4 linked regions of the Tamandua tetradactyla genome follow. The protein of the gene in region 2 interacts with the protein of the main gene of each other region in a pairwise test. Links are inferred from orthologs where the notes say so. Each region holds a gene or a part of one and is shown on either strand. Other genes may lie near its edges. The genes, in order: TFIP11, SSX2IP, MRPL53 and CCHCR1.

Region 1 (7,966 bases), on a different chromosome or scaffold from region 2:
TGTTAGCACATTATTGTGAATATAATGAACAGTACTGACTTGTGTGTGAATGTGGCAGAAAGGGGAAATTTAGAGTCATGTACATCACCAGAAGGAAAGCTAGAGGTTAAAACATAGGTCTGCATAACATGGAGGTTAAAATGTTGTGGACAATGTGATAAACAGTACAAATATAAAAAAGCTGTTTCATGAACTAGAGCAAATATATGAGACTATTGCAAGGAGTTAATAATAAAGAGGTATATGGGGAAAATGCACCTATTTGCAAAGTATGAACTACAGTTAATACTGATCCTGACACTCTTTCCCAATCCCCTTTGTGAAAAAGATATAGCCTCTGTGGAATGGAGCCCACAGGCTACAGATGTGAGCAAGGGCAAGACAAACTCAAATCTGCTCCACATTCTGGTCAAGTGAACTGCACCAGCTCACACCTGGGCCTCCACTGGGGAAAGGACCTGCCATGTGAATCCTCCATCTCGCTGTCCCCATCCTAGCCGCAGCCTTCTCACAGAGCTTCCTCTTCCCCTGCAGCTCCAGGCCCACCCTGCACACTAACAAAAGGGTCTTCTCAAAGCACAATCAGCCCTACATCACATCCCCTCAACTGCAGCCTCCAGGTCCCAGGTGACCTGACTTCCTGAGCTCCTCAAACTATGTTCTTCCTCCATCCCTCTACTCCAGGCCCCTCAACCTTTCTTCTTTTCCTGTGGATAAGCTGTTCTTTCCATCAGGGGCCTTTATATACCCTTGCCTCTCCTTCCACCCTAACTTTTTATTTTCATATCCACTCAAGGATCTCTTCTCCAGAGGAACCTTCCCTGATCCCCCAGAATAGGTCAAACACCCCCAAAATGTGCTTTTCTTGACAACCTGAATCACAGTACAAACTTCCATTTCTTTGTGTGGCATTAATCAATGCCTGTCTCTGTTCACTAGGCGCCAAGCTCCAGGCAGAAACTCCTTCTACAGCCCAAGCCCTGACACACAGTAACTGCTCTGGATAAACAATGACTGAATGATCACATCTGTGAAAGAATAGCACCTTTCCTGAAGAGGAAATTACACTTCCATAGCTGATGTCATAGCTAATGGATCTGTAAGGCCAGGAGAGATGTATACTTCCCTACTTCCTCCATCCTGTCCCCTTTCTCTAAAGCAAGGTGAAGTCAGTCCCATGTAAGCCAGTACCGTTTGCCTCCAAAGCTGGGCCTCTCCTCATCTGAGTCACGTTCTGCCCAAATCCCGTAGGTGGCCTCTTCCTTAGTCTGCCAGTGGCGGGGTCGGTTGGGGTTGAACTCATTCTGGAGATCCCAGTCGGTGATCTCAAAGTTCTCCCGCTCATCCTCGTCGTCATCTATGTGGCCTTCCCCATCCCGGTACAAATGGGACAGCGACATGGCCAGCCACTACAAGAATGGACAAAAAGTGCAGTCTGTGAAAAGTGCTGGGAGCAGCAGCAGAAAGCTTCCTTGTGAGTCCCTGTTTCTTGGTGCCTTCAGAACTTTTTCCAGACCCAAAGTCTGTTAAGATTATTGTTACTATTCAATTAAGCAGACATTTAAAACAGATCCATCTATGTGATTCTTAAAAAGTATGTATTTCTGTCCTAGTCAATGCCATAAAACATCATATGCACAGACATACACAAATCATACAAAAATAACTAAGTGTGTTATTCTGTATATTATTGCCTCAGAAACTGGGTAAATGACTTCCTGGACCCCAAATTTTATTATTATGTTTTCTATTTTTGAGGAAAAAGGTTATATCTGGATGCCTGGCCCACTCCCAGGCAGAATGGTTTTTTTGGAATATGCTTTTTAAAATAAATTTCCTGAAGACACTCAAAAGATCCTTAGAGCGGAAACTCTAAGTTTTCCTCTCAAAACATGGCCTCTTCTCCTGAAGTAGAAGACAACAGTTAACTATGAACACTACAATAACTGTGTGAACCAGAATAGAGAATTCACCTCTTGGTAGCCAGGTGATAAGATTTTGCTAGCTCTTAAATTAGGACTAAATGCTGTATCAACCTTTGAGAAAGCTTGTAAGGCAGATTCAGTGACATGGTGCTTTAAAAGCACTTAACTCACAGTAAGTGCTAAAGAACAACAGCTGCTACTATAGTGCCATGATTAGGTTCACCATTGCTACTGAGTCAATCCATCAAAATGATTATGAGTCACGGCCTAGGTTCAAATCCCAACACAGGTACTCAGTTTGTGAGTATTCGTGAATTTGATGGTGCCACTACAATGTCACACACTCAACAAGTGACAGTAATTGTGATTCTGGTCTACCAGTTACTGCACGCAGCCTTCACGTACAGGTAGGCACTAGAGTGTCAAATTCTACTCAGCTGTGAGAAAACTCCTGCTTCGTCTGCTCACCGCTCTGGGTAAAGCGTGTACAGGCGGCAAATATTTTCAAAGGTGGGGAGTCCCAGCTACATCGGAGTAAATTATACCGCTGGCACCCTGGGCAAATGACATGGTTACAATCTCAGAGTAGTTACGAGTTATAGGGCCATTGTAGGTGCTAAGTACTTGCTGGGTGCTGCGAGACGGTTTTCCAATCTAGGTATCGAAACACTTTTACGGGCAGGAACTATAACGTTTCCATGCTTCAGATGGAAAAATGAAGCTCCAAGGAAAAACTCCTCGCCTGTAGGAAAAACCTAAGGCTCGGGCCTTTCTCAACCCCGCTGTCCAGGCATCACGAAAGACACACGCCTTCCTGACTGGGTGCTGGCCCCCACTCCCTGGTGACCCCGAGCGGCCCCGCCCCTCCCCGGGCTCCGGCAGCGCGGTTTGCGAAGGGGAATCCGACACAGGCGAGGCCGAGGCTGAAGCCAGCCGTCTCCGAGACTGCATCCCCACTCCCGCTGCTACGAGACCCCTAGCGCCCTCACCTCTCGGATGGGTTCCCAGGACCACACGCAGCTTCCCACTCGGCGCCCTAAACACGCCACTTCCGCTCTCCAGAACCCGGACGTGAATAGAGCCGCGCACCGGAAATGACGTCCCTTGACATCGACAAAGTGGCGCGGTGTGCGGTAGCAACAACACAACGCTAGAGCGGCTTTCTTTTTCGAACAGCGGCGTTAAGATGCTAGAAGGTACATGGAGGTTGTAGCGCCCCGAGTGGCCAGGGAGTGCCTTTCCGGTTTTGTAATGCGTTATCTGGCCTGGGTTGACCCGTCGGGACGTCCCAGAACGACTTTGGCCAGAGACCAGCCTCAGACTGTAAATCTGGAGGGGACGCGACGGACATTCATATGGGGATAATGAAAGCCGTGTTTGCGTCTCCTGTATATTTGGGTCTCTCGGTGTAAGCATCGTCACGGGCGCAGAGAAGCTGCCTTATAAAAGGGGTTTGGGGGAATGAATGGGCAAACTCTTAGGAGTTCCCAAGTATTTTTTCTGGAAATTTTTCCATCCTTGATTTCATACAGGTTGATGAATTCATTCATTTACTCATCTAATTAAAAATGTACTGACTACCAACCTTGTGCGAGGCTCAAGAACGAATCTGGCACCTGCCTGGAATCCCTGGCTCCTCTGAGACTCTCTGTTGCCATTAGGAGCACACAGGCTCTGAAGTTCTGATCTCAGGCCTGCGAGTTACCAGCTGTAGAGTTTGGGCATTTCTCTAAACTTCATTTTTCTCCGCAAAATGGTTGAGGATTCAATGAAATCAAACAGTGTCAGTGTAGTAGTTAGGTTCAGGTGTCAGCTTACCCAGATAACGGTGCCCACTTGTTCTGTGGCTGGGCACTTAAGTCATCAACATGTGAACTTTATAAATAGCTGATTACATCTGTGATGGGCTAAAGGGAGTGCCTTCCGCAATAAATGAGGCTTAAAAGGAGAAGTTAGATGCAAGAGAACAGCTCAACAGCTCAGCTTAGCACTCAGGGCTCAGATCCAGACATTTGGAGATGCAGAAAAGAGAAAGCGGTTTGAACCCAGAACTCTGGGGAAAGCAGTTTGAACCCAGAAGCGGGGAGAAAAGCCCAAAGGATGTAGCCATGTGCCCTCTCATGTGTGCTCCTTTGAAAATAGTATGTACCCCAGAAAAGCCACCTTAAACCCTGATTCAGTCTTGTGAGGGCAGCCGTTTCTTTTAATCTTGATTTAATGCTATAGGTTGGAATCTTTTGATTAGATTATCTCCATGGAGATGTGACACGCCCAATTGTGGATGTGACCTTGGATTAGATGGAGCTATGACTCCACCCACTCCAGGTGGGTCCTGATTAGTTTACTGGAATCCTTTAAAAGAGGAAACATTTTGGAGAGAGTCAGAAACAACAGAAGCCTCAGAACTGACGGAAACCTCACAGCAGAGCTGACACAGAGACACATGGAAAACATAGATATGGATGTTTGGAGATACTTGGAGCCCAGCAGCCATCGCCATGAGAGGTTAAGCAAGCCAGAACCTGGAGAGAGCCAAGGTTCTCTCCCCATCGCCATGAGATAAAAGCCAGCCCTGGAGAAGCAAAGTGAGGAATCCCCACAGGAACAGGGGCTGAGAACAGCAGAGCCCAGGAGCAAGGGACCAGCAAATCATCCATATGACTTCCCAGCTGATAGAGGTGTTCCAGACCCACTAGCCTTTCTTGAGTGAAGGTAACCTCTTGTTGGTGCCTTAATTTGGACACCTTCACTTCCTGAGAATTGTAAACTTGTAACTTAGTAAATTCCCCTTGATAAAATCGGGTCCATTTCTGGTATATCACATTCTGGCAGCTTGGAAACTAGAACACTGTGTAACAGAGAAACCCTGGTGAAAGCTAAAAGCTAGCTGCCTTTCCTGCAAGGAACTGTAAATTTGTAACTAAATAAATCCCTTTTATAAAAGCCATCTATTTCTGGTGTACTGCATTCCAGCAGCCTTAGCAAACTAAAACAGTTTGCCATTAAGACTCTACCTGGCACATAGTCCAGTCTTAGGAAATGTTAGCTGTCAATGTTTATTATGTTCTCTCTTCTCCGTGTAATGAAAAGATCCAAAAGGAAATTATTGGACTGTACAAAAAGCACAGGACGTAGTCAAAAGACTTGAGTTCTGTGGTAGATTGAATCATGTCCCCCACAAAAGACATTTCAAGTCCTAACCCCAATCCTGTTAGTGTGAACCGATTTATAAATAGGACCTTTGAAGATGTGGCTAATCGGAATGAGAGTAGGCCTTAATCCAAGATAACTGAAATCCTTATAAGCAAAAGAAATTCTATAAAAAAGTAGAAACCAGAGACAGAATACAAGTCGACATGTGACAGAAGATCCCTGAAAAGCCATCACCAAAACACTACAGGCTCTGGAGAAGGCACGGCCTTGCTGACACTGTGATGTTAGACTTCTAGCCTCCAAAACTGAGACAATGAAATCCTGTTGTTTAACCAACCCATTTTGTGGTTTAACCTAGCAACCAGGCAAATTCCAACCACAGGTCTACCCTTACATTGTTGTTATGAATAAAATGCGAACCTATATAAAGCCATTTAAACACAGACTTCTTAGGGGTGGGGACTGACTTTAATGTTCTGTATCCCCAGTGGCACTGTGTCGCTATGCCTGACACATAGTACAAACTCAGGGAGGAAACTAAGAGTGACTTTTTCAAAGGAATGAGACTAGCGGACTAAAAGGTCCACCGGAAAGAGCAGGGTCCAAACAAGAAGACAAGACCCATTAAGAGTCTAGGTCTGAACATAAAAATATAAGTAAGTTTTAACTTCTCTGTAGCTATTTCTGTGGCTTGATGGCAGACAATTGTGGAGTTGCAGTCACTTTTGATCATGGGGACCTAACTTTAGTGGGTTTGCTTCACCAAGGAGACCCCACCATGTAACTTCTGAGGATTGCACTTTTGTGGACTCTTGTAGGGTTGTTAAGAGTGCAGGCTCTGGTCAACTGAGTGGAGTGCGTCAGCAGTAATGGAAAACTTGAAATCATATATTATTTGGTAGAATGCCCTGAGAAGATCACGGCATTACTTTTGTGATTTTCCTGCCAAGTCGCAAAATCTGAATGTAATGACAAGGATCTAGAATACAAGCTCAGATTGGAAATTCTGCAAAACTGGCCTGTAATCTTCAAAAGTGCCAAGATCGTGAACTTTAAAGAAAGGCTGTGGAGTTGTTTTAGACCGAAGAAAACTTTATAGACAACTAAATACAATGCATGATTCTGAATTGGATCTTTTTGCTATAAAGGATATTATTGAGATGTGACAAATGTGAATGAGGGATGAATATTCTGTGGCAATGATGAGGCAATGTTAATTTCCTGATTATGATGATTGTTCTGTGGGTATATCAGAGAACGCCCTTGTTTGTTGGAAATACTAAGGTATTGGAGGGTGATAGAGCAAAACATTGGCAACTTAATCTCCAATGATTCGGGGAAAGATGTTTCTCCACTATATTTACAACTTTTTTGTAATTTTTTTGGAAAAAAAAAAAAAGGCTCTGGGGTAAAACTTAATGAATCCAAATCTCCATTTTGTGGCTTCCTACATGGGGTGCCTGGGGCAGGTTGCTTCACCCCACTACACCTCTATTTTCCCATCTGTAAAACAGGGATAATGTCCAGGCTGCTGTAAAGGGTTTTTTTTTTTTTCCCATGATAAAATAAAATGGGCTATACACTAGTAATGAACAAGCTGAGGGGGAAATCAAGAAACGAATCCCATTTACAATTGCAACTAAAAGAATAAAATACCTAGGAATAAATTTAACTAAAGAGACAAAAAACCTATATAAAGAAAACTACAAAAAACTGTTAAAAGAAATCACAGAAGACCTAAATAGATGGAAGGGCATACCGTGTTCATGGATTGGAAGACTAAATATAGTTAAGATGTCAATCCTACCTAAGTTGATTTACAGATTCAATGCAATACCAATCAAAATCCCAACAACTTATTTTTCAGAAATAGAAAAACCAATAAGCAAATTTATCTGGAAGGGCAGGGTGCCCTGAATTGCTAAAAACATCTTGAGGAAAAAAAACGAAGCTGGAGGTCTCACGCTGCCTGACTTTAAGGCATATTATGAAGCCACAGTGGTCAAAACAGCATGGTATTGGCATAAAGATAGATATATCAACCAATGGAATCGAATAGAGTGCTCAGATATAGACCCTCTCATCTTTGGACTTTTGATCTTTGATAAGGCAGTCAAGCCAACTCACCTGGGACAGAACAGTCTCTTCAATAAACAGTAGGCCTAGAGAACTGGATATCCATATGCAAAAGAATGAAAGAAGACCCATATCTCACACCCTATACAAAAGTTAACTGAAAATGGATCAAAGATCTAAACATTAGGTCTAAGACCATAAAACAGTTAGAGGAGAATGTAGGGAGATATCTTATGAAACTTACAATTGGAGGCAGTTTTATGGACCTTAAACCTAAAGCAAGAGCACTGAAGAAGGAAATAAATAAATGGGAGCTCCTCAAAATTAAACACTTTTGTGCATCAAAGAACTTCATCAAGAAAGTGGAAAGACAGGATCCAAGATGGCGTCTTAGTAAGGTACATGCGTCTTAGTTCCTCCGACTCCAAATCAACTAATAGGTGAACAGAAACAGTACAGAACAGCTCCCGGGGCTACAGCAGGGAATGGACACACAGCGTAACCCAGTCTGGGCTGGTTAGTCTGACTGCGAAAATCGGCTGCGGTGAGTGAGATCCCCGAGCGGCGGGCGATTTCCCGAGCAGCCGCAGCTGCGGCGGTCCGAGCTAATCCCTCCCTCCTTCCCGGGCTGGCTGAGGGACGCGGAGAGACAAGCTTCCCAGCCAAGGCGGCCGGCGCCACACTTTTGCGGGCGGCTTCGAGTCTCAGCTTCGAGTCCGCGACTACGAGTCTCGCATCAGAGGGCTATCCAAAGTCTGGGCTGGCAAGTCTGACTGCGAGACTTGGCTGCGGCGAGACCCCCGAGCGGCCGC
Region 2 (7,645 bases):
CTCCTGAAGCTCCTCCATACTTACCTCCCATTTGCCATTATATACTGGCCAAAACTAGGTCACAAGCTTAGCCCCTAAACATGTCACTGACAAAGTACCGGAGACAGAATAGCAAGTTTGGTTTAGACCAATGGCTCTCAAAATACGAGTGTCTGTTAAGCCAAAATTATTTTTATATATCTTTGGCCAACTGATTTTTGACATGTTGTCAAGTCCACTCAATTAGGAAAGAATGGTCTCTTCAAAAAATGGTACTGGGAAAACTGGATATCCTTATGCAAGAAAATAAATGTGGACCCTTATCTCACACTATATACAAAAATTAACTCAAGATGATCGAAGACCTAACTATAAGAACCTGATCTATAAATCTCCTAGAAGATAACATAGAGAAGCATCTTCAGGATCTTGTGTTAGGGAATGACTTCTTAGACTTTCCACCAAAAGCACAGGCAACAAAGGAAAAATATAATTGGGACTTCATCAAAATGAAAAACTTTTGTGCATTAAAGGACTTCACCATGAGAGTAAAGAGACAAGCTACAGAATGGGAGAAAATATTTGGAAACCATATATCCAATAAGGGTTTAATATCCAGAATATAAAAAGAAAAAGAACTCAACAATAAAAAGACAAACAACTAAATTTAAAAAATGGCAAAATGCTTTAATAGACATTTCTCCAAAGAAGATATACAAGTAGCCAAAATGCACATGAAAAGATGCTCAGTATCATTAGCCATTACGGAAATGCAAAACAAAACCACAATGAAATACCATTTCATGCCCACTAGAATGGCTAGTGTTTAAAAAAAAATAAAGAAAATAAGTGCTGGAGGGGATGTGGAGAAATAAGACCACTAGCTTATTGCTGTGAGAATCTAAAATGGTGCAGCCACTGTGGAAAACAGTTTGGCAGTTCTTCAGAAAGTTAAGTATAGAATTTACCATATGACACAGCAACCCCATGCTAGATATATACCAAAAGGAAATGAAAGCAGGGACGCAAACAGATTATTTGCACACCAATGTTCATAGCAGCATTATTCACAGCTGCTAAAAGGTGGAAGCAACCCAGATGTCCAACAACAGATGAAGGGGTAAATCAAATATGGTATATACATACAATGAAATATTCTTCAGCCATAAAAAGAAACGAAGTCTGATACATGTAACAATATGGATGAACTCTGAAGACATCATGTTGAGTGAAGTAAATCAGATACAAAAAGACAAATACTTTATGATCTCACTGTAGGAAATAGAATAAACAAATTAATAGAATCAGAAACTGGAATCCAATTTATCAGGGGCAGGGGTGGGGGTAGGGAATTGAGAGTTAATGCTAAATTGGTACAGAGTTGCTGTTTGGGGTACTAGAAAAGCTTTAGTAATTGATAGCGGGGACGATTAAGGAAAAGGTAATTTTATTATAATTCTAAGATCTTATTTACTTTTAAAATTCTCATTCTCTTACAAGTATACAGTGGGGTTTTCTGAAGCTACCTCAAAGACTGCAAGAGATTGAATGCTGAGGTAGATATGACAAACCAGATGCCTTATATTAACCAGATATTAAAAGGTATTTGCAAACTTTCAAACTATACCACTCCTTTTACTAACTTATTGGAAAATATAGTTATTTTTCAATGAAATGTAATATTTATGTTAAGGTCATTATGTATTTTTTTTAAATAAATATTTGTTAATTTCTCAGTTTTAAAATCTAATATAAATATCAATAGCTATAACCCACAATAAAGAAAAGCTCTTTAAACCTTCAATAATTTTAAGAGTGTACAGGGGTCCTGAGATCAACAGTTGGAGAACCACTGGTTTATTCAGACCTGATCCATCCCTGGGTCTGGAGAGAGGACCGGTCTCACCGAGCTCGTGTCAGCCTGCCCTGAAATTTTGTAAAATCTGACTCTGTTAGTCAGTAGGACACTAAGAGGAAATGCTGGATGCTGCTTACTGAATTATCTCAACTCTTCTAGTTAATCAGAGAGTGAAACCTCACCTTTTGACTGAACTGTGAGGAAGGGAATGGTCAAAATGAAGCCTTAAGTTCTATTTCAAAGAGAAGCTTTCACATTAAGTTGCTTCTCGAGGTGGACAGGGGTGTGGATTTTGCGGAGTGGACAATTTAAATTTCAAAACCCATCTTGGGTGCGGGGGATTCCTCTACCCCCACCCCACCATTGCTCTAGATTAGGGAGCAAGGTAATAATTAGTTTCGCCTCCCCAGAAGTCCTGGGCTAAAGGTATCCTTACAGTGATGGGCCTGAGGGACTATTTGGCTATCTTTCAATTATGCTCTGTAGCATCTAGCCTGGCCATCAGATGGCTTAGGTCAAATATGAGGATTTCTCTGGGTCTTTGTAGTGATTAAATGTTGGTCCCCAAATATACGAACCCCCAGAACCTGTGAATATAACCTTATTTGGAAAAAGGGTCTTTGCAATCCAGTTAAAGATCTCCAGATAAGATCATCCTGGAATAGCACTAAGTCCAATGGCAAGTGTTTTTAGAAGAGAGAGGAAGAAGACACACACAATGGAAAGCCATGCAAAGAGTTGGCAGAGGTTGGGAGTGATGGTCTGTGTGCTGGTTTGTTTGATCTATTACGCACCCCAGAAAAGCCATGATTTAATCCTGATCCAGTCTTGTGGGAGCAACTGTTTCTTTTAATCCCTATTCAGTTTTGTAGGTTGGAGTCTTTTGATTAGATTGTCTCTAGGGAGATGTGACACACCTGATTGGAGGGGGTATTAATTCTGATTAGCTGGAGATGTGACTTCACCCATTTGGGGTGGGTCTTGATTAGCTTAATGGAATCCTTTAATAGAGGAAAACATTTTGGAGAGAGCTCAGAGCAGGCAGAGCCTACAGAAAAGACAGAAACGAGAGAAATGACAGAAGTTTCAGAGCCAAGAGAAACTTCACAGCAAAGCTGACACAGATGTGGACATGTGGCGAGCAGAGATACTGATGTTTGGAGATGCTTGGAGGCCAGCAGATGTTGCCATGAAATGTTAAGCAAACCAGAACTTGGTGACAGCCAAGGGAAGCCAAGAGATGAAAGCCAGTACTGGAGAAGTAAAGTGAGGAACCTTCATAGGAGCAGAGGCTGAAAGCAATGGATCCCAGGAGAAAGGGGCCAGCAAATGCCAGACACGTGACTACCCAGATGAAAGAGGTGTTCCTGATCCATCCGCCTTCCTTGAATGAAAGTAAGCTCTTGTGGGTACCTTCATTTGGACACTTTTCCCCTCCTTAGAATTGTAAACTTGGGACCTTTTAAGTGCCCCCTATTAAAAGCCATTCCAATTTGGTATATTGCATTCTGGCAGCTGGCAATCTAACACAGTCTGTGAACCAAGGAACCAAGTATTGTTGGCACCTCCAGAAGGTATAAGGCATGGAATGGATTTTCTTTCAGAGCATCCAGAAGGAATCTATGACACCTTGATTTTGGACTCCTGGCCTTCAGAACTGCAAGGGAATAAATTCCTGTTGTTTACAACCACACTGTTTGTGGTCATTTAAATCAGCTCTTGAAAACTAATATAGTCCCCATGTATTGCTCATTTTCTCACTTTAATCCTTCATCCAGGATTAGGGATACTGGGAGGGGAACTGTTCTTCCCCAGTTGTTCAGTATTAATATTTCTTGTTCTTGTCTCATACAACGCTCTTAGATGCCTCCTTAAAATGCCAAATCTCCCATTTTTCTTCCTTAATAAATCTTTTAGCTTCACTAAAAAATATAAATGACAAAAATCCACTCAATTACATCTTTGTGTTTTTTAACTCAACTCATATGTTTGTGATTTCTTCATCCATTTCTTTCCTTTCTCTGGCCTCTTCCTTTACATGCTTACACTGAACAGGGGAGGGGCGGCTCTAACCCTGGCACCACTGAAGCAAGCGTACATTTTCTCTGCACATATTTTGTTGAGTGGGTGTTGAATATCTTTGCATAAACTTCTAGTTTACGAATACCATTTCTTATAGTCTTCCCTTATCCCGCTGTCTTCTGCTAGGTCCGTTTCTTTGCCCTTATTGTACACGTACTTTTGGGTTTGGGTTTGTTTGCATCCATGATTTCCGACGCTTGATCCTCCCTTCCCTTGGGCCTGACCTAATTCTAGGTACCGGCCGTTGTTTGGTTTATTTCTCCTCTTTTGCGAACGCACGTGGCAATTTGGGGAGCATGCACTTTTTGATCCTTGGATGGGTGCTGGGGTTCATTTGGGCTCCGAAAACATGTTTTACGCAGCCATAACCACTTCCCCCTCAGAGCCCCCGGCCCGGAGGTCCGCGGGCGTGAGGAGGGGGTGGGGAGCAGAGCCGGGCAGGGTGAATCACAGGGCGTAACAGGTGCCGCAGCCGCAGCCACAGCTGCTCCCGCATCCCGCTCCGGCTCTTAGGGATAAGGTTTTCTTTTTCTCCTAGTTTTTTTGGAGGTGGGGAGGAGACTCCGGAGGCCCCACCGGACCAATGCAGGCCGCGGTTGTTCATCGCCTAGCAACTGGCGCAGCCAATGGGAGGCGGCCCGGCCGGCGGCGACGCGGCGGCGCGGGGGCGGGGTGGGAACCTAGCGAACCTGCAGGGGCCGGGAGGCGGAGCAGAGCCCCGCGCGGGGCGGAGCCAGCGGGAGCCCGGGACGGAGGAGGGGCCGTCGGCGCGCGAGGCGCTGCGTCCTGCCGCGGCTGTAAGGGCCCCCGGGGGTGCAGGAGGCTGTCTTGGACGCAGAGCGGTGACTCCTCGCCGCTCCCGGGGGCTGTGACGGTGAGCAGCCTCGCTCCCAGCGGGGATTGTGACGCGCCCGCCCGTCCGCGGAGGGGAGAGCGGCGCAGACGGGGCTGGGTGCGGGCGGGGGGCCGGCACCGGCGCGGGGCGGGCGGGCGAGGAGGTGAGCGCCTGCACCTGGCTCGACGCCCCGCGGCTCTGCGAGAGGCTCTGCGCGACCGTTGGGGCGGTTGGACGGTGCGGGAGAGCGCTGGAGGTGGGAGGTAGGTTCCAGCGCGGGGGCCGCTCCCGCTGGTGGACGCCGCCTTACGTTCTCCGGAGGGCTCGGTCCGGGGTCTGCGGGAGGCGCCCCAAACAGTCTCCGGGTGTTTGGCGTGGAATGACGAGCAACGCGGAGACGTGTGGGAGGAGGGGATGGCAGATTTGGAGCTGCAGTGTGTCCTTCGCCGAGTTTGTAGGGACTGCGGGGTTCGGGGTTCAGGAGTTTGTGAGTCTAAACCACCAGAGGCTGTCGTTAAAATGAGACCTTGGGAGGCCCGTGTCCGCTGCAGGATGAGAAAACCTTCCTAGTGGTCTCGTTAAAAGTCTAGGAGAAAGCACATCATCAGTGATGCAGGCATGTGTGAGAACATTTTGATGTAGAATTTTATCGTACAGTGGACTGAACTGTGAGCACCCTGCACCCTTTTAAACCTATGCTGCTCACCCAGTTATGCAAGTCTCTTTCTTGGGCCCAGGAATCAGAATCCATTAAGTCATGTTTTCTCTCTGCACACGTAATAATGGGAATCCTTAGATGATCTCATTTTACGTAGTTGTGAATGCCAAGGTGTCCTCACTAGCAAGGTTGATGTAGTTCTTTGATCTGAGAGAAGTAGGTTTTCCCTTTTCTGTACTCCATATTCAGTTAAGAATTAGGAGTGGTACCCCTCAGAGGGTGGGTCACGCGTGTGAGGTTGCGGGTTTCCAAGGCTTTAAGTTACTGTGCCCCTCAAACGATTCAGATTGGAGTCTAGGTCTGTGAATGGATGCCTTGGAACCCTTCATGGTGCAGGGGGATTGTCTTACTGTTGAAATGGAAGAAAAAGCCTTATAATTAGAACGTGAACTGGAAAGGGAGGCATGACTTGACACATTTAGGAGACTGAATAAAATTTGCGAAGAATTAGAGAAAAAGGCCTTTAAACTTAGCATAGGTCATACTATCTTGGAATTTAGAATTTGAGATTTATGAATTTGGATTGAGCCAGCAAAACTTAATCCACCAAATCTCCTACAGGCCTAGGAATCTTTGGTTACTCATTCAAACAAAACTAGTAAAAAAGGGTAAGAAATAATTTGACATGTGTTCTGCTGTCAGTGAAATAGTTCTTTGAAAAGAGGATTAGGAACTGCTAGTTAAAGTGAAGCCTCTTTTGGTGACTGGCCTGACATCTTCAGCCAAGTCGTCTTATACTCTTTCTTTCCTTCTCTCTTTCCATCTGTGCAATGAAGATAATAAAGCCCTGGGATTAAGTGACATGGCTGAAACAGCTTGAAGATAGGTGCGAAGACTTAGTTATTCTAGGATGAAATGTGAAGATCTCCTCATAGCACATTGAGCCTTGTGACAAGACTTGTTAAAGCACATTATATTCCCAACATGCTCAAGCAGTATATGAGAAAACTAAAATGTTAATTGTTCAGATGATTTACCAAAGGCTGTGAGGCCAACGCAAAGTCAGAATTATGAAGGTGAGGTTTTCTGAAACCTGACACAGTCTGCTCTTTGGCCAAGTTTTGATACAGGTTTCATAAAAGAAGACTTTGGGTGCCTTTATGTGGTATGTACTTAGGAGTAAAAAGAATGATAAAAGAAAAAGACACTGTCCCAGAATAGAATGATTTTAATTCAGTTTACCTGCCAGAATTGGAGCAATACCAAGTTTTTTTTTGGTTTTTTGCATGGGCAGGCACCAGGAATCGAACCCGGGTCTCCAGCATGGCAGGCAAGAACTCTGCCTGCTGAGCCACCGTGGCCCACCCCCAAGGCTTTTTTAAGTGCTGTTTTTCCATATCTTTTACAATAGATGTGAATATGCCTGTTTTTAGTTTTATTGGTCTGGCCATTTGTTTATGACACAGAGATTTTGATACGATCTTGGTCTGTTTTGTGTTTTCTGTGATTATGATTAGGTAGTAATGAAGGCATTATCTTGAATTTTCATGAGCTTGTAGGATGAGATAGAGAAGTGCCCCATTCATTACTGGTAATGGAGAACAGCCTAAAATCATGACTTTTGACAGTGTCAATATTGTTATTTTATATAACAGCTTTACAGAATTATGCTTTAATAATTTCTTCTTTCAATAAGCAATTATCAAACACTAAGCTGATATTTGCTAGACCTGAAGATAAAGAAATGAATATTGTCTTGAGGAATTTGTTTCTAGGAAATTTGCAGTGCATTGAGAGAAAAAAAAAAGTAATAATTGCATTATGGGAGGTTATAGAAAAGAGAGAATTTCAGCTGTGTTTTGATGGAGGCAGCTGGTGCATTCTGCAGTGTATACAATTATTGAATTATAGGTGGTTTTGTAGAGTTGGAGCAGGGTGGGGTAGGTTAGTGATAATGCTGGTTGAACCAGGGCTTTAAATTTTGACCTGTAGGTGATGGTGAACCTTTGAAAGGTTTTATTCAGAGTATATTTGATTTTTACTTTAGAAGTGTATGCCCATCAAAATCAGTAATTGGAGTGATCCAAAAGCGTTCTGTGCACAGATGACCCTGTAATATAATAACTACAGCCTGTACGCAATTATAGACCTGAAAAATACGTTATGGAAACCTCCAGAAACTTGAGAAAAGCAGAAATTATTCATGTGAAAACCTCAATTATATACCTTCTAC
Region 3 (6,481 bases), on a different chromosome or scaffold from region 2:
GGGTCTCCTTGAAAATCAAAAAGAGGGCCAGTCACCACCCACCACAGGCTCTGAATGCTTCCCAAGAGCATGTCTGACTTCACATGGGGGCTTTGTCCTGAAATAATTGGGAATTTTATACTTTAAATGTCTTTATACTTTAATGTTACTTGAATGTTGTTTTATACTCTGTAAAATATTAAGATGCTAGTATCTTTATAAAACATTTTCTTTTTTGTAAAAAAAAAATAGGGGAAACAGAGGCTAAAATATATTGGGCAGATGGAAATACTAGCGAGAGAGAGGGGTAAAGGGTATGGTATGTATGAGTTTTTTCTTTTTTCTTTTTATTTCTTTTTCTGAATTGATGCAGATATTCTAAGAAATAATCATGGTGATGAATACACAGCTATGTGATATTGTGCGTTATTGATAATATACCAAGAATGGTATGCTTATATGATAAGAATGTTCATGTTTGTATGTTGTTATGTTTAAAAAAATAAAATTAAATTAAAAGGCCCCACACAGGACCTGTGGCTGGGCAGCTTCGGAGAGCTGAGGTACCAAGGCAGGCAGTTCCTAGAGCTTTGGGGGAGAGTGAAGAGATGGCCTGACCAGAGCAGAGGCTCCCTCTGTACGTGGGAGTACAGAGGTAGGCTTCAAATTGTGGAAGGCACCGAACACTAGCTCAAAGAATTTGGGCTTTATCTCATGAGTGATGGTGAGCTCCTATAAGAGCAGGAGAGGAACAGTGCAGGTTGTGACAGAGTTTGATCTGGCTGGAGTGAGCAGGGTGGACAGGAGGTGAAGAGACCAGATATGATAAGGATCTAGCACTTACTGGTTGTGGGGAGAACAAAGCCAAAGTGACAGGCCCACAGCGTGCTTACCATGTCAACAAAAACACTATGAAGCTCTCTCTGTGCCTTCCTCCTCTGCCTGGTGACTGCACCAGTGAATGCCTGCTCAGGGCTGTCTGTGGCATGCAGCAATGGGTGACAAGGAAGAATCAAGCATTATGAGTTCTCTCCACTGCTGGACTGTGAGGTCCCAGAGGAAGAGAACATCTCGTACTCTGTACCAGAACTACCCCAGAATGTTGAGTGTGGAGATTCCTAACACATGTTGATTGAAAAAGAGGTAATTTCCATGACGTAAATAAGGAAGGAGAAGGCCATCTTCTGTGTCCCCCCTCTGAAATTCTAACCTCTTCCCCCAAACACTGTATTTAAAGGCTCAGTGGATCTCCATTGAAGTGTTTGTGGGAGAAGTGACAAAGAGTAGTTTAACTCTAGACAGATTGTTTTCAGGAGATGTACCAGGAACCACGTGGGCTCCCCCTTACCATGTCTGGGTCCCCCAAACCCTTCCTCTCGTCAGGCTCTCTGGCATCCAGTCAGCCTTCTCTTTACAAAGCAACCACCACATATCCCATTTCTTGGGGTTCTTCTCCAAGTTGGGCTGTGGAATGAAGACCCCCTTTGTTGCTGTCCTTTCCCCATCCAAAAACCAAACCAAAACCAACCAAAGAAAACAAAGAAACAAACAAAACTGGCCCATGAGCCTTTTCTTTTCTTGCTTTATGAATTATGTTGCTCTAGAAAAATGGAAGTGGGTGTCAAGAATGTTCAGTGTGAGTACATTCCAAAGGTTCCTGAATCTCAGAAAGTTAAAATAGCCATTGTCCATTGTTCCTGGCCTACATGCAGTTCCTCCCTCCCTTTGGAAGATCATTACAACTACTCCTTCTTCCCTCAGTCTCTGTCCACCTCCAGGTCATGCAGACCTCTCTGGCATGTACTTTAGAACATTCTGGGGGTGGTGGTGGGGAATCTCACTTTTTTCCTATTCAGGTTCCTCTGTTACAAATTAATCTCAAGGATTTTCCTACCTCTGATACACGCTGCCTGGAGCAGAGTAATCCTAGGACAGCTGTTGATAGTATTTTCTGGGTCCAGACCTCTTAGAAAACCCAATGAAAGCTATAGGACCTTGCCTCAGAAAATGCCCAGGTGCACACAGTTATGCATACAACTCTAGGGTTTTACGGACCCCAGGTTAACCACCTCAAATTTAGAAAAGCATCATAACTTGACAAGCCCCTAATAGATAAGACCCTTTTATTTCCTCCTTGTCTCCATAGCTCCTGCCTGAAGAGTCACTAAGACTCTTTTTTCAAGAATGTCATAAACAAGCCACGCAGGGCTTCAAGCGCTACATGCCACGTGGTCGATACTGGCGGCTTCATCTTTGTCCTGGTAACTCCTCATGCCAGCATCTCCTTCCAGGGGTTCAAGGGGGTAATGGTGTCCCACTCCCTCCAAATCCTGGCTCCACTTCTCTGTCTCTATTCTTATCCTCACCTTCTTTGCCTCCCTCCAAAATCCTACCCTCTACCCCCATTCTGTTTAGAGTGGCTCTCCCTAGCCTCGTATCCTGCCTTTTCTCTTCTCTCATTCTAGAACTGCCCAGCGTTCCCAGTCAGTATGCTGGGGTGGTGGTCCGCACCGTACTGGAGCCTGTGTTACAAGGATTGCAGGGATTGCCACCTCAAGCCCAGGCTTCCACCCTCGAAAAGGCACTGACAGCTGTCCTGGGTGCCTGGCTCGACCACATCCTCACCCATAGGATCCGGTTCAGGTGGGAGAAAAGGAGGCTGCAGCAGGGGGATAAATGGAATTGGGAGAAGGGATGAGATAGGTGGAGCAGGGCAGGTAGGAGAGGCAGGAGGGTCAAGTGGCTTCATTGTACTTTGGCCTTCAGCCTGCAGGGGGCACTGCAGCTCAGACAGGACTTTGCAGTAGTCAAGGAATTGCTGGAAGAGGAGCAGTGGGGCCTGTCCCCTGACCTTCGACAGACTCTGCTCATGCTCAGCATCTTCCAGCAGCTGGATGGGGCCTTGCTGTGTTTATTACAGCAACCCCTACCCAAGACTCGAGTCCACAGGAGGCTCCCTTATTGCTGTGAGTCACTTCCCTTTTCCAACTGCAGGCTCTCTTCACTGCTCACTCACTTTTTTATGTACCCCTACCCCGCCCCTTTCCTAAACACTGGGGTCTGGCTTCACCCTCTCCCCCCAGCCACCTGTCGTCTGCTCCCTTCTTACCAGGTTCTTGTAATGAGGTGCAAACCACAGAATTGCCCAGCAACAGCCTCAACAGCCTGGAGAGCTTGGAACCCCCTCTTCGGCCTGGAGCACCCCCAGCCCAGTCAGCTCAGCTGTTAAGTACACTGTGGGGAGGAGGACCTAGCCCTGAGGCTTACCTGGTAGGAAATGAGCAGGCCTGGCTTGCCCTGAGGCAGCACCAACACCCACGTTGGCACTTGCCTTTCCTTTCCTGCTTCTGTACAAGTCCTGAACACTAAGGAGCCTGGAACCAGGAGCCAGGGTGTCAGATTCTCATCACTGGCTGGTGACGTGCAGACAAAAATTACGTATTAGGGATCCTAGAATTGGGAACTTAGAAGAAAGTACACCTGAGAACCACAAGCTAAACAATGCTTGGACTTACAATTTAAGAATGAAAGATGACTCCAGCACCAGGAATCCAGAGAAAAGTGCAAAACCACACTCGGGAACCTGGAGGTCAGCATTGTTGAGCTCAGGCCTGGTTCCACATTAGTAAAGACTTCCCGGGGTCAGAAGCTGTAGGAGGGCTAGAGACTTGGGCCCAGGAGACAGGGAAAGGGAACAGCAGTAGAAAGCAGAAAGCCTAGATGCCACTTCTTCTTAGACTCTGGGAGCCAGGCTAAAACCAAAGTTAACTGAACAGAAACCACAGACGTAGTACAGGCAATTCTGCACTTGTGTAAGTGCCAAAGCTGTTACCGTGGGCTGCCAGTTACTTTCAGTCATTTAAAAATATTAGGCTGTCGGACCTTCAGATTTAAGCTGTGGTTACCCAGAGTTCAACATGTATAACCTTCATTTACCTGCATGGGCTTTACCTCCCGTAGGCGTTTTATCAGTGCCCTCTTTTTGGAAGGGGCCAGGATTTAAGATGGTGCAAACCTAGATCTGGCACTACAGGATATGGAAGGGAGAAATCTGCAGAAGTCGAACATATTTCGGAGCCAGGTGCACAGGGGTTTTGCAATATTTATTGTCCTCACCGCGGTACAAAGGGCTATGTCAAGAAATAGAAACTCCTCGCTTACTCTGGGTTCCTCGCTGTGTGATTTTCGCAAACCAAGTTAGGCGCTTCCCGCTTGTACGGAAACAGTCAATCCCCTCCCCTCCCCATCCATACTTCCTTCTTTCGGGTTGAGGAACCCGGACAGCGAGTCAGGGCGTGGACGGTGGCGGAAGACCGCTACCTCTAACAGCAACTAGCGCCGCCGAAGACCCGGCGTCCGCAGCTGGTTGCAACGTCACTTCCTCCCGAGGCCTTCCGGGACAGAGGTCATCATGGCGGTGGCGGCATTGGTTCGGCTAGGTCTCCGGTCTGTTAAGCAGGTTCGGATTCAGTTCTGCCCCTTCGAGAAAAACGTGGAGTCGACGAGGTAGGAGGGGAAGGGGAGGGCTGGGGGCAGGAAAGGGAGCACCTTCCTCTCGCGGGAGGTCTGAGCCCCAGGGTCCGGCGCTACTGCCGCCGGCGTTCTCCCGCCGCAGGACCTTCCTCCAGGTGGTGAGCAGCGAGAAGGTCCGCTCCACCAACCTCAACTGCTCGGTGATTGTGGACGTGAGGCACGATGGCTCCGAACCCTGCGTGGACGTACTGTTTGGTGGGCTCGGCGGTGGGGAGTCGGGCGGGGAGGCGGTAGTCAGCTCGCGCGCTTTTCTCACCAGCCGGATAGTCTTCCCTGTGCTTAACTCATTTGTTTCTTCCCCAGGAGACGGGCACCGCCTGATTATGCGCGGCGCCCATCTCACCGCCCAGGAAATGCTCACTGCCTTCACCTCCCATGTCCAGGCCAGGGGTGCAGCGGGGAGCGGGGACAAGCCCGGCGTTGGTACCGGCAGGAGCTGACGGCGCAAACGAGACCGACAAGATTTTAGCTTGGGAGTAGGACATTTACTTAAGAAGAGTTTGACATAATCACTCCTATCTGGAGGACTTACCCAGCACGAACACAAAAAGAAAAGCAGTCCTGCAACCAGTGTTTGGGGGCGAGATAAGATCGGAGAGGGGTCTGGATGACCATGAATTTATTTCACTTTCTTACCATCCCACACTGCTTAACCCTTTAAATTTGGCTTCTCCTATCACTCGCCAAAGGTACCTCTTACTCATTTTAGTCAAATTCGGTGCTGTTTTATGAGTCCACATCTTTACATCTCAGTTGCCACTTTTAATTCACCCCCTATGGAAGCTTTTTCACTTTAAGTCCTTTTTTTTCTAACATTAAAGTGTACCGCCCTCATTCTTCTTTTTCTTCTCTATATTCTTCTACTCTCTCTCATAACTTTGGGCCCTCTCATTCTCTCTTATAATTTAAACTGTCCTATCCCAGCTTAATCTCTCTGGCTCTAATACCAACTTCTGTGTTACAGTTCATAGTTTAGTTTACCTGCTATCAATCTCCCCCAAACCTCACCAACACTCTTTGTCTAAAATAGAGTTGATACTGGTACATACACATATTTTTGTTTCTCTCCAGACTTATCTTTCCTTTTCAAGCACTTCAGCTAGGTTTGAAACCATAGCATTATCTTGGGTTCCCCTCTCTCCCTTTCTCTGCATATCCTAGTAAGTACAAAATACTCTGTTTTAAATAAAGCTCCTGAGATATTTTTCTCCATTACATTCACTATCCTGTATCATTGTTGCATTTCCCCACCTGCTCTCTTAATCATTTTTGCTGCTGCTTAATTGTGTCTTTCCAAAGTACATCTCCCATTTCTACCTGTTTGAGAAAACAGTGATGAAAATAGTGTTTTTCATACTGGGTTACCACCCATTAGTGTGGATCATGAAATGGACTTAAGATATTAAAGCAACCTTAAAAACGTGAAATAGAATAAAAAGTATCAGAGTGCATGGCATATAGTTTTGGAAATATTCCTTTAGGATATTTGGTATTAAGCTTATAACCGTGTGTGTGTGTGTATATATATAAAATATATATTTCTTATTTATATTTATTATGTAATATATGTTATATATGTGTGTGTGTATCTGCAAGTATGGGTTGCAATATAAAATTATTTCTTACTGTGAGTTGTAGGAAAACATGGATGAAAGTCAGTGGTTTAGAAAAGAAATTCAGAAGGCTCAACGAGATAATCAAGGACCTCCAGACATTGCTGCTGTGTACTTTGCCAAATACATTTTCCCACAACATTACCATATGGCTTCCCTGCCTAAAAGCATGCTATCTTCAAAGGACTCTTCTCTCCACCCCCCCACTTAAAAAAAAAAAAATACAGGGAGGCAGTGTTTGTAGTAAAGAGGCAGACTCCCTGGGGCTGAAATGCCCTAAGGAACTGTGTGACTTTGAACAAATAACTTAATCTCTCAGTGCCTGTTTCCTCATTTGTAAAATGGGGTTAATAGCA
Region 4 (7,637 bases), on a different chromosome or scaffold from region 2:
ATTTTGGCTGGTATGAGGTTCATTGGTTAAAGTTGATACTCACTGGACCAAGGCATCATCTGCTCTAGCTTGCCTGGTGGTACTGGTAAATGCTGTAAAAGTTTCCACCACCTTTGTGAAACCTGAGAAGATCCTAACTACCTTACTATAATGGTAGAAACCTTAATTAGCTCTATTCCTTTTTCCTGTTTCCCTCTTTCAGCTCATTCTTAGATCGCCACTTCCTAAATCTGTTTTCAGGCCTTTACCCAGAGTACATATTCCCAAGCATTGGGAATCCAGGAGTATGAGACTCCAAGAATAAATACCCAGGGGTGAAAGAAGAAGCCGCTTGTTCTTTATTTGGAAACTGAAGCAGAAAGTCTAAAGTTTTCAAAAAACATGTCATGGTCAAGATCGGGTAGGATCAGCCACAGTGTAAGGAAGCTTGGGGGCCGGGGCCCAGGTTTTCTCAGCATCTGTGTGGATTTTCAATTTCAAGGAATTGTCCAGATCTTATGACAGTCTTTTCAGGCATGGCCACTGTAATTGATCGATGCTCTGTGCCCAGACGTTCTGGTGTCCCTGCTAACAAGCCTCTACATTCTGTAGCAATGGGAATTTCCAGTTCACTGGCAACAACTTCCTGGAGGCAAAGTCTGACAGGCAACCAGCTCTCTTCTGTCACCTTGGCCATGAGGACCTGTTGCAGGCCCTGAGTCAGGATCCATGGCAAGGGACCCTTCTTCCCTGGAGTCACTCCCTCCTGGGGAGGGAAGGGAAGAAGGGGCATTTTTAAGGACTCGTTCCCACCCCACTGTCCACCCCTGGCCTGGAGTTCCCAGCTCTGCGTCCTCTGGTGCTGTGGTGATGGGCCTTAGGTCTGTGTGCCAGCACGGCACCCCGGGCACCGGAAGTCTGCCTCCCTGGCAGCCTGGATGCTGCAGCCCACACAGGCCACATGGAACCACACATCACAACCATCACACTGAACCCAGGCCACTGTCTCTTCTTGGGGCAGGCTGCAGCGGGGGGCTGCACAGGGCTCCCCGCCCCCAACTGCAGGGGGAGCCATGGGGACAGTCACTGGGTGCTTCCGAGGACGCCCACGACGATTTCTGAAGGAAGTTGAAGGGGAAGACACAAAAACCAGGGTCACTGGAAACCTGGGAGCCTAGGATTTGCCCCTGGTGAACCCAGGGTGACCCGGAAACTTGGAAAGCCTGTAGGGTGGACCCAGATAAGCTCTGTAATGTAAACTTGGAAACTGTCCCCTGAACATGTAGGGTGGGGCTAGAAATCAGTCCCTGAAAACCTTACAGAGTGAGCCCAGAAATCCCCCATCCTCAGGCACTCAAAAATAGGGTTAAAGCTGTATGAAAGTAAAAGGTGGGACCCTAATGCCTGCCCACTTGCCCAATCTAGTTTTATAGCCATTCCCCCATCCCACCTACCTCAATTGCTCCTATGGATTTTTTTTCCCCCCCGTTAATAGAGTTGACCCAGGTTTTGCTGTTCTATTCCACCAGTCTACCTCTCCCACGCCTCAGCCTGGGACTCAAAAAGGCAGGAGAGACAGGACTCTTCACTCACCCATTGGGTGTCAGTGGTGCCTTCTCTCCGCGTAGTTTCTTCCTGGGCTCTATGTAGACTGGTGGGGGGCTCTCAGGGGCCCCCCTTTCATCATCCAATTCTGCCAGCACTCGGTGGGCTGATTTCCTCCGGTTTCTGGGGGCTGGGGGTGGGGCAGAAGGGGAGCCCCCCACTTCCCCGCAGAGAGTGGGAGGGGGCAAGCTCTGTGGCTCCCTCCCACCCCCACTCCGGGAGAAGGTGAGGGGCTGGTGCTGGAGCTTGCTGAGGCTGCCGATGGAGTTGAGGATCAGCGTGGCCTTTGGGGCAGGGGAGAGGGTACTGATGGGCCGCTGCGGAGCCCCCTGGGAGGGCAGCATGGGCCGGAAACCACCCCCAGTCCCCACTTCTCCCCTAGATCGTGGGATGGTGATGGCAGCAAAGTCCTGAGGTTTCACTCGGACTTGTTGGAACATGAAGTAGAACTCGGAGGGACTGTTTCCTGGGGGTCCTTCAGGGCCAAAGGTCAGGAGGTCACCATCACTCAACTCCAGCCTGTGACCCTTTGGGAGTCGGACATTGTTGACCAAGGTTCCTGTTGGTGGGGACCAGGCAGATGAAGAGAATGGCAAAACAAAACCCGGAAAAAAAAATCCAGAATCAGGAGTGGGAAAACATCTGTTAGATTTTTTGGGGTCTAGTAAGAACATGGAACCCTGTCATTCTTTCCTCCCTCACATTCTAAACCCCTCAGCGAATGACACCAGATAATAAGCTCCTTGTAAGCTGGGAACAAATTCATTTTTCTTGGGGCACATGGAGGGAATGGACTCTGCTGAGTCCTAATCTCAGACAGGGGCTCACTCTCACCCAACTCAACTAAAGGACAGCACAGGTCAGCAGCAGATGGTGTTCAAGCCCCAGCTCTACCACTTGTCAGCGTCGACAAGTTTCTTAACCTCTTTGTGCCTCATTTTTCTCGTCTGTAAAATAGGAATGGTCATCAGTGCCCACCTACATTCAATGCATGTAAACAGTGGGTACGAAAAATATTGGCTACTGTAATTATGTAATCCCCACAACAGCCCCAACATCTAAGAGGTGACACGACAGGCCAGAAACCAGTGACAAGCCCTTCTGAGACTGAGACTGTAACTGAGTTAGGGAAAAATACACAGGCCCAAAGCATTAAAATAGAATTCAATGAAAAGCAGGAAGGAACGAGGTGCCTCAGCAAAGCTGGAAATGGGATCAAGACTGAGTTTGGCTCTCAATGGCCCCAGAACATCCCCACTGTGACACTTCTCTACTGATGTCCTAGGCCCTGGATCTACTTCCCAGCCCCCTGTAGGGGCTAAACAGGACCCTCTGGAGGGGACTCTTGACACTGCACACTTCTGATGGGAATATGTAGGTCTGGACCCTAAATGCCCAATGGGAGGGTGGCAAGGGGATCCTTAATCCTCTTAGCTTGGACCTGGGGGGGGGGGGGGCTCAGGAGCAAGGACGTCCTGCTCACCATGGCTGCTGTGGTCCTCCAGGCTGACCCTCCAGTCATCGCCCCGGCGCTCAGCATGCAGCTCTGCGTGGACCCCAGAGATGAGGCCGGGTTCCTCCTGGGGCCGCAGGGCCACATCACACAGGTCTGCCCGGCAGCCCAAGCGATAGGTGCAGCCAGCCCCCGTGGGTGGGTGGAAGGTGTAGAGATCACCACCTCGGCCGCCCCCTATGCGCAGCAGCTGGAAGCAGGGCAGCATGGGCGGTGCCCCTCCACACCACAGCTTCCACTTCAGGAATTCATCACCCTTCCCACTCCTGGGCCAGGCACGGTGGTTCAAGTTCACTTCTCAATCTGATGCGAACTTAAATTGTACTTTGTGCAGTTTCAACTTCAAGCACACTCCCTGAGTAGTGCAAAATCAGTGTAAGCAGCCGACGTATGCAATGCAAAATTTGCTGTCTAGCAACTGTGCAACTGAAAAATTCGGGTGGGGTTCCTGGTACAACGCAAAACCAGGAACACGCCTTATGGCACCGCAGATGAGCCGATTCTCAGGCCGCAAAATATTCGGGGAGCCTCTGATCTGTGCAAGACAATGATACAATAGACAACTTCTGAGGAAATGCAAACTGGGGGTCCTGCTTCTGAACAATACCAGCGTATCACAGTGTAACTTGGAGAAAGAAGCGTCTTCCTGTCAAACCTGTTTATCCAAAAGGAGTACCCCTCCCGCTCGCCTGCGCCTCCCTTTTCTGGCCAATTCCTCACTTGTAACTAGTTAATTTGGAACCCCGCGGTAAGTGAATCTACTGTCACCTTGAAAAGGTAGTGCAAACCGGTTCCTAAATTAACTAACAAAACGGATCTAAAAGCTCACCTTTACGGCTTCTCCGCGGGATAAAAACTGCAGGAGCTCCCAGAGATCATACAATTCAAACCCGACCTTTTCTCTCCTGGCCCGCTCAGTATAATCTCAGAGCGGTTTGTCCTCCATGAGCTACCAGCCGGTGCAGCGGTCTCTGGCGCTCCGGCAGCTGTTTGACAGCGAGGAGGCACTGGCCGGTGGGGCGGGGCCTCCGAGCGCGGGCAGCGCGCGACCCCGCCCTCGGAGTTCCCGGGTGAACGCCGCGCCGAGGGGCCACGCCCCTCTGGCCGCTCATGATTGGCCAGCCCATTCGGCGTTGCTCCACTCCATTGGGCGGCACACAGGGAGGCCCGAGCTCCCGCTTTCCGCGTTTTCTGATTAGTTCACTAAGTTTCCCGGGTTCCCGGAGTTGGGAGGAGCCGTCAGGGCGCGGAGGTGCTAGAACACCTTTATTGGCCCCAGTTTTAGACGCTACTACGCTTGCGTGCTCCTTTTCTCCGCCCCCTTCCGGGGTGAACTAGTCTTCTGAGCCTCCCGCCAACCCGCCCGCTCTGCGCAGGCGCAGTAAGAGGAGGCGGCCTTGGCCCGGGAACCTAGAGAGGTGGCGGTGGCCTGAGGGGTGGGGTGGGGTGGGGTGGGGAAGTGGCGCGTGCGCAGGGTAAGGAGCGTTTGGGCGTAGTCGGTTGGGGGTGGGAAGGGTCGGTTGTGGGCGGGAAGGGGCTGGCTGGGGTGTGGGGGTGGGTACAAGGGGTCCATCGGGAAGAAGGTTCAGGGGCCTGGTAAAGGAACAGATAGGGTGGTCAGAACAGCCTTAGATCTCGGAATCCAGCCGGCTGTAGGCGCGGGGATAACTGGGGTATCGGAGAAGAGCGGGGGTGAGAATCGAGAGTGTAGGGAGACGAGAGCAGGCATCTTTGAGCCGGTAGATGAGGGTGAGAGTGACGGACAAGGATAATTTCTTCAGGAAAAAAACAGATTAGGACTAGGGAGGGAGTGGGGTATGAATCTCAGGCTCTAGAAAAAAATAGATCAATTCGGGTGGGATGGTGGAGGTGAGATCTTGAAGAGCCCACTCTTACCCTGAGACTCCGAAGAGGGGAGAGTGGGCAATAGGAATGGAAACTGAGGGGATAATAGAGAGAAACTGAAAGGAGAATTGCAGAAAGGGATTCAGTGAAATGGCAGACAGCTGGCCTTTCTGTCAAGGGGTCTAGGGCTGTGTGGATTCCCAGGGATCCTGGGGAGGCATCTAGCCCTACATGTGGTGGCACTCGTCTGCAGCCAGGCCTTGGGCCAGTGCTTTCATAGGGAAGGACCCAGGAGTCATGGCTTGGTGGTGTCTGGATGGGCTTCCTCAAGGCCTGGCTGAGCCATGGAGAGAACTCTGGAGGTTGGGCTCACAGCGCCTGCACTCCGTGCGCCCTCTCTCACCTCAGACCTGCAGGACCAGCAGGGACTCTAGAAACTTAAGGAGGAGGGTAAAGACTGCCCAAAATACTAGGAATATGAGTAGAACCTAAGAGCTTTCCTCAGCTTGTGTCAGTAAATCCCCCCCCCCCCCACCTCATGTTATTGCCAGGGTTCTGTCAGGAATCAGGGTGGGACAAAGAGGTGATCTTGGGGGTTTCTCCTTTTGGAAACTAGGAGAAGAGAAGCTGAATGTCGGGTGGACCAGTTATTATTTAGGAAGGATAACTTTATCATAGGGGCTTTCTCTTTGGAAGGGGTGTGAAAACTGAATTGGAATGTCCTTGTTTTTCCTGTTGTTCAGGGGATCATGGATGGCTGGAGACAGAATCTAGAGCCTTCAGAAAGTGCAGAGATGTTTCGAACTTCAGGTCAGTGGGACCAGACTAGGGGACTGGTGATGACCTCTCCTTGGGAAACTGACCACCTGTGCCCTTGTGATTCCTCAGGTTCCACTAGGCTAATTCCTCCATCCCACTTCCAAGCTCGGCCCCTTCATTCTGTGCCAAGAATGGCTTCTACCTGGGTCTCGGACATTCCCCTGGTGCAATCCCTGGCCCAACAAGAGGTCTCAGAGAGGCGGCTAGACAACCAGAGACTGCAGGCGGACATGTGGGAACGATCTGCTTCTGGCGATGGGCAGGAGCCAGCACGGAGAGACAGGTAGGCATCTGGCATCACCATTTCCTTAGCTTGCTCACCGAAGACTCTGTTTTACCAGAATAGATTCCTTACCCTGTGTCAGCAGTTGGTTCCATAATTTTTTTCTTCCTTTTTCTATCACTTGAGTTTTTTTTTTCTTTTAAAAATGTATACAATAGGGTGCACAGGTGGTTAGGTGGTAGAATGCTTGCCTTCCATGAGGGAGAGCCGAGTTTGATTCCTGGACCATGCACCCCCCCCCCCCAAATATATATATATATACAACATAACATTTCCCATTTTAATCACTTTCACATACACAATTCAGTGGTATAAAGTTTTGCTAATGGATGGTGGTGATGGTAAGATACCATCGTGAATGTAATCAATATAATTTATTCACTTTTACATAACCAGTTCTTCGGTGCCTACAAACTATAAATAGTAAGGAAGTTGCTGGAGACTAGGGATGAGATAACAAAGATGAATGGGCGAGATCCTGATATTAAGGAGTTTAAAATCTTAGGTCAGTTCACCCCAAAATCATGAGCAACAAAACAAACAAATGGGTAAATTGGGCTTCATCAAAATTAAAAATTGTTGTGCATCATAGAACATTATCAAGAAAGTGAAGACAACCTACTGATTGGGAGAAAATATTGGGAAGTCATGTATCTGATAATGGTTTAAGATCCAGAATATAAAAAGAAATCCTGCAACTCAACAACAAAAAGACAACCCAAATGAAAAATGGACTTTAATAGACATTTCTCTTAAAAGGCACATGAAAAGATGCTCATCATTAGCCATTAAGGAAATTAAAATCAAAACCACAATGAGATACCACTTCACACCCATTAGAATAGCTTATTAAAAATAAAAAATAGCAAGTGTTGTCAATGATGTGGAGAAACAGGAACCTTTGTACTTTGTTGATGGAAATGTAAAATGGTTCAGCTACTGTAGAAAACAGTTTGGTGGTGCATCAAAAAGTTAACTAAAAATTATCATAAGGCTTGGCAGTCCCACTGCTTGGTATGTACTCAAAAGGAAAAAACATGGACTCAGGTAGGTATTTGTACACCAGTGGTCATAGCAGCAGCATCCAGATAGCCAAATACGGTAGGCAGTAGCAACCCTAATGTTCAGCTGATGAACATTTCTTAAGAAGAGATGTTAAGAAATGTTAAGACTCTATAAAGGTTTCGTGCACTGAGTTTGCTTTCCTGGAACCTATGATTCCCAGAGGGTTCCTAGGTCTGAGAAATCTTGAAACCCAGAGTGACCAACCACTCCACAATTATCAATTAATTATATCCCCCTGTCCTTTAGTGTCTGCACCACTTCTCAACATGAAAAAAGTCAGAATGGGCTTTGCCCAGGGATCCTTATGGATTGGGAGAGGGATCATGGAAGAAAGAGGAGGTATAACAGAGTAAATAGGATTTAACAGAGAAGTATGACTGCTGAATCACTATATTAATATTCCATCTAGCCTCCAGTGTTTGGGAGCAGCTAGAAGGAAAAATCTGAGGTGATGGAGTAGCAACCCATGACAAAGTCTGGGATCTATTCTGTAACTACTGGCTGAAGTGTACTTTGAAAAATATTGCT

What was found.
Region 1: the proteins of SSX2IP (region 2) and TFIP11 interact in binary tests that used the Homo sapiens proteins (3 or more experiments, as listed by UniProt). The two-hybrid records come from large-scale screens. The link is inferred for Tamandua tetradactyla from reciprocal best matches to the Homo sapiens genes SSX2IP and TFIP11.
Region 3: the proteins of SSX2IP (region 2) and MRPL53 interact in binary tests that used the Homo sapiens proteins (3 or more experiments, as listed by UniProt). The two-hybrid records come from large-scale screens. The link is inferred for Tamandua tetradactyla from reciprocal best matches to the Homo sapiens genes SSX2IP and MRPL53.
Region 4: the proteins of SSX2IP (region 2) and CCHCR1 interact in binary tests that used the Homo sapiens proteins (3 or more experiments, as listed by UniProt). The link is inferred for Tamandua tetradactyla from reciprocal best matches to the Homo sapiens genes SSX2IP and CCHCR1.

The regions. Positions count from the first base shown.
Region 1 is NC_135331.1:36,079,159-36,087,124, forward strand, and holds the start of TFIP11 (tuftelin-interacting protein 11), read right to left. Parts: upstream 3,003-7,966; 5' UTR 2,915-3,002; intron 1,410-2,914; 5' UTR 1,401-1,409; coding exon 1,192-1,400; intron 1-1,191. UniProt on the Homo sapiens protein: Involved in pre-mRNA splicing, specifically in spliceosome disassembly during late-stage splicing events. Intron turnover seems to proceed through reactions in two lariat-intron associated complexes termed Intron Large (IL) and Intron Small (IS).
Region 2 is NC_135337.1:40,381,314-40,388,958, forward strand, and holds the start of SSX2IP (afadin- and alpha-actinin-binding protein), read left to right. Parts: upstream 1-4,643; 5' UTR 4,644-4,793; intron 4,794-4,887; exon of another isoform or gene 4,888-5,017; intron 5,018-5,605; exon of another isoform or gene 5,606-5,628; intron 5,629-6,130; exon of another isoform or gene 6,131-6,488; intron 6,489-7,645. UniProt on the Homo sapiens protein: Belongs to an adhesion system, which plays a role in the organization of homotypic, interneuronal and heterotypic cell-cell adherens junctions (AJs).
Region 3 is NC_135343.1:48,371,082-48,377,562, reverse strand, and holds MRPL53 (large ribosomal subunit protein mL53), read left to right. Parts: upstream 1-4,357; 5' UTR 4,358-4,390; coding exon 4,391-4,485; intron 4,486-4,594; coding exon 4,595-4,707; intron 4,708-4,815; coding exon 4,816-4,952; 3' UTR 4,953-5,961; downstream 5,962-6,481. Other genes in the region: CCDC142 (coiled-coil domain-containing protein 142), read left to right, coding at 2,126-2,240, 2,445-2,622, 2,746-2,945, 3,092-3,348.
Region 4 is NC_135331.1:86,079,100-86,086,736, reverse strand, and holds the start of CCHCR1 (coiled-coil alpha-helical rod protein 1), read left to right. Parts: upstream 1-4,618; 5' UTR 4,619-5,173; coding exon 5,174-5,392; intron 5,393-5,685; coding exon 5,686-5,752; intron 5,753-5,830; coding exon 5,831-6,044; intron 6,045-7,637. Other genes in the region: TCF19 (transcription factor 19), read right to left, coding at 857-1,097, 1,573-2,143, 3,068-3,305. UniProt on the Homo sapiens protein: May be a regulator of keratinocyte proliferation or differentiation.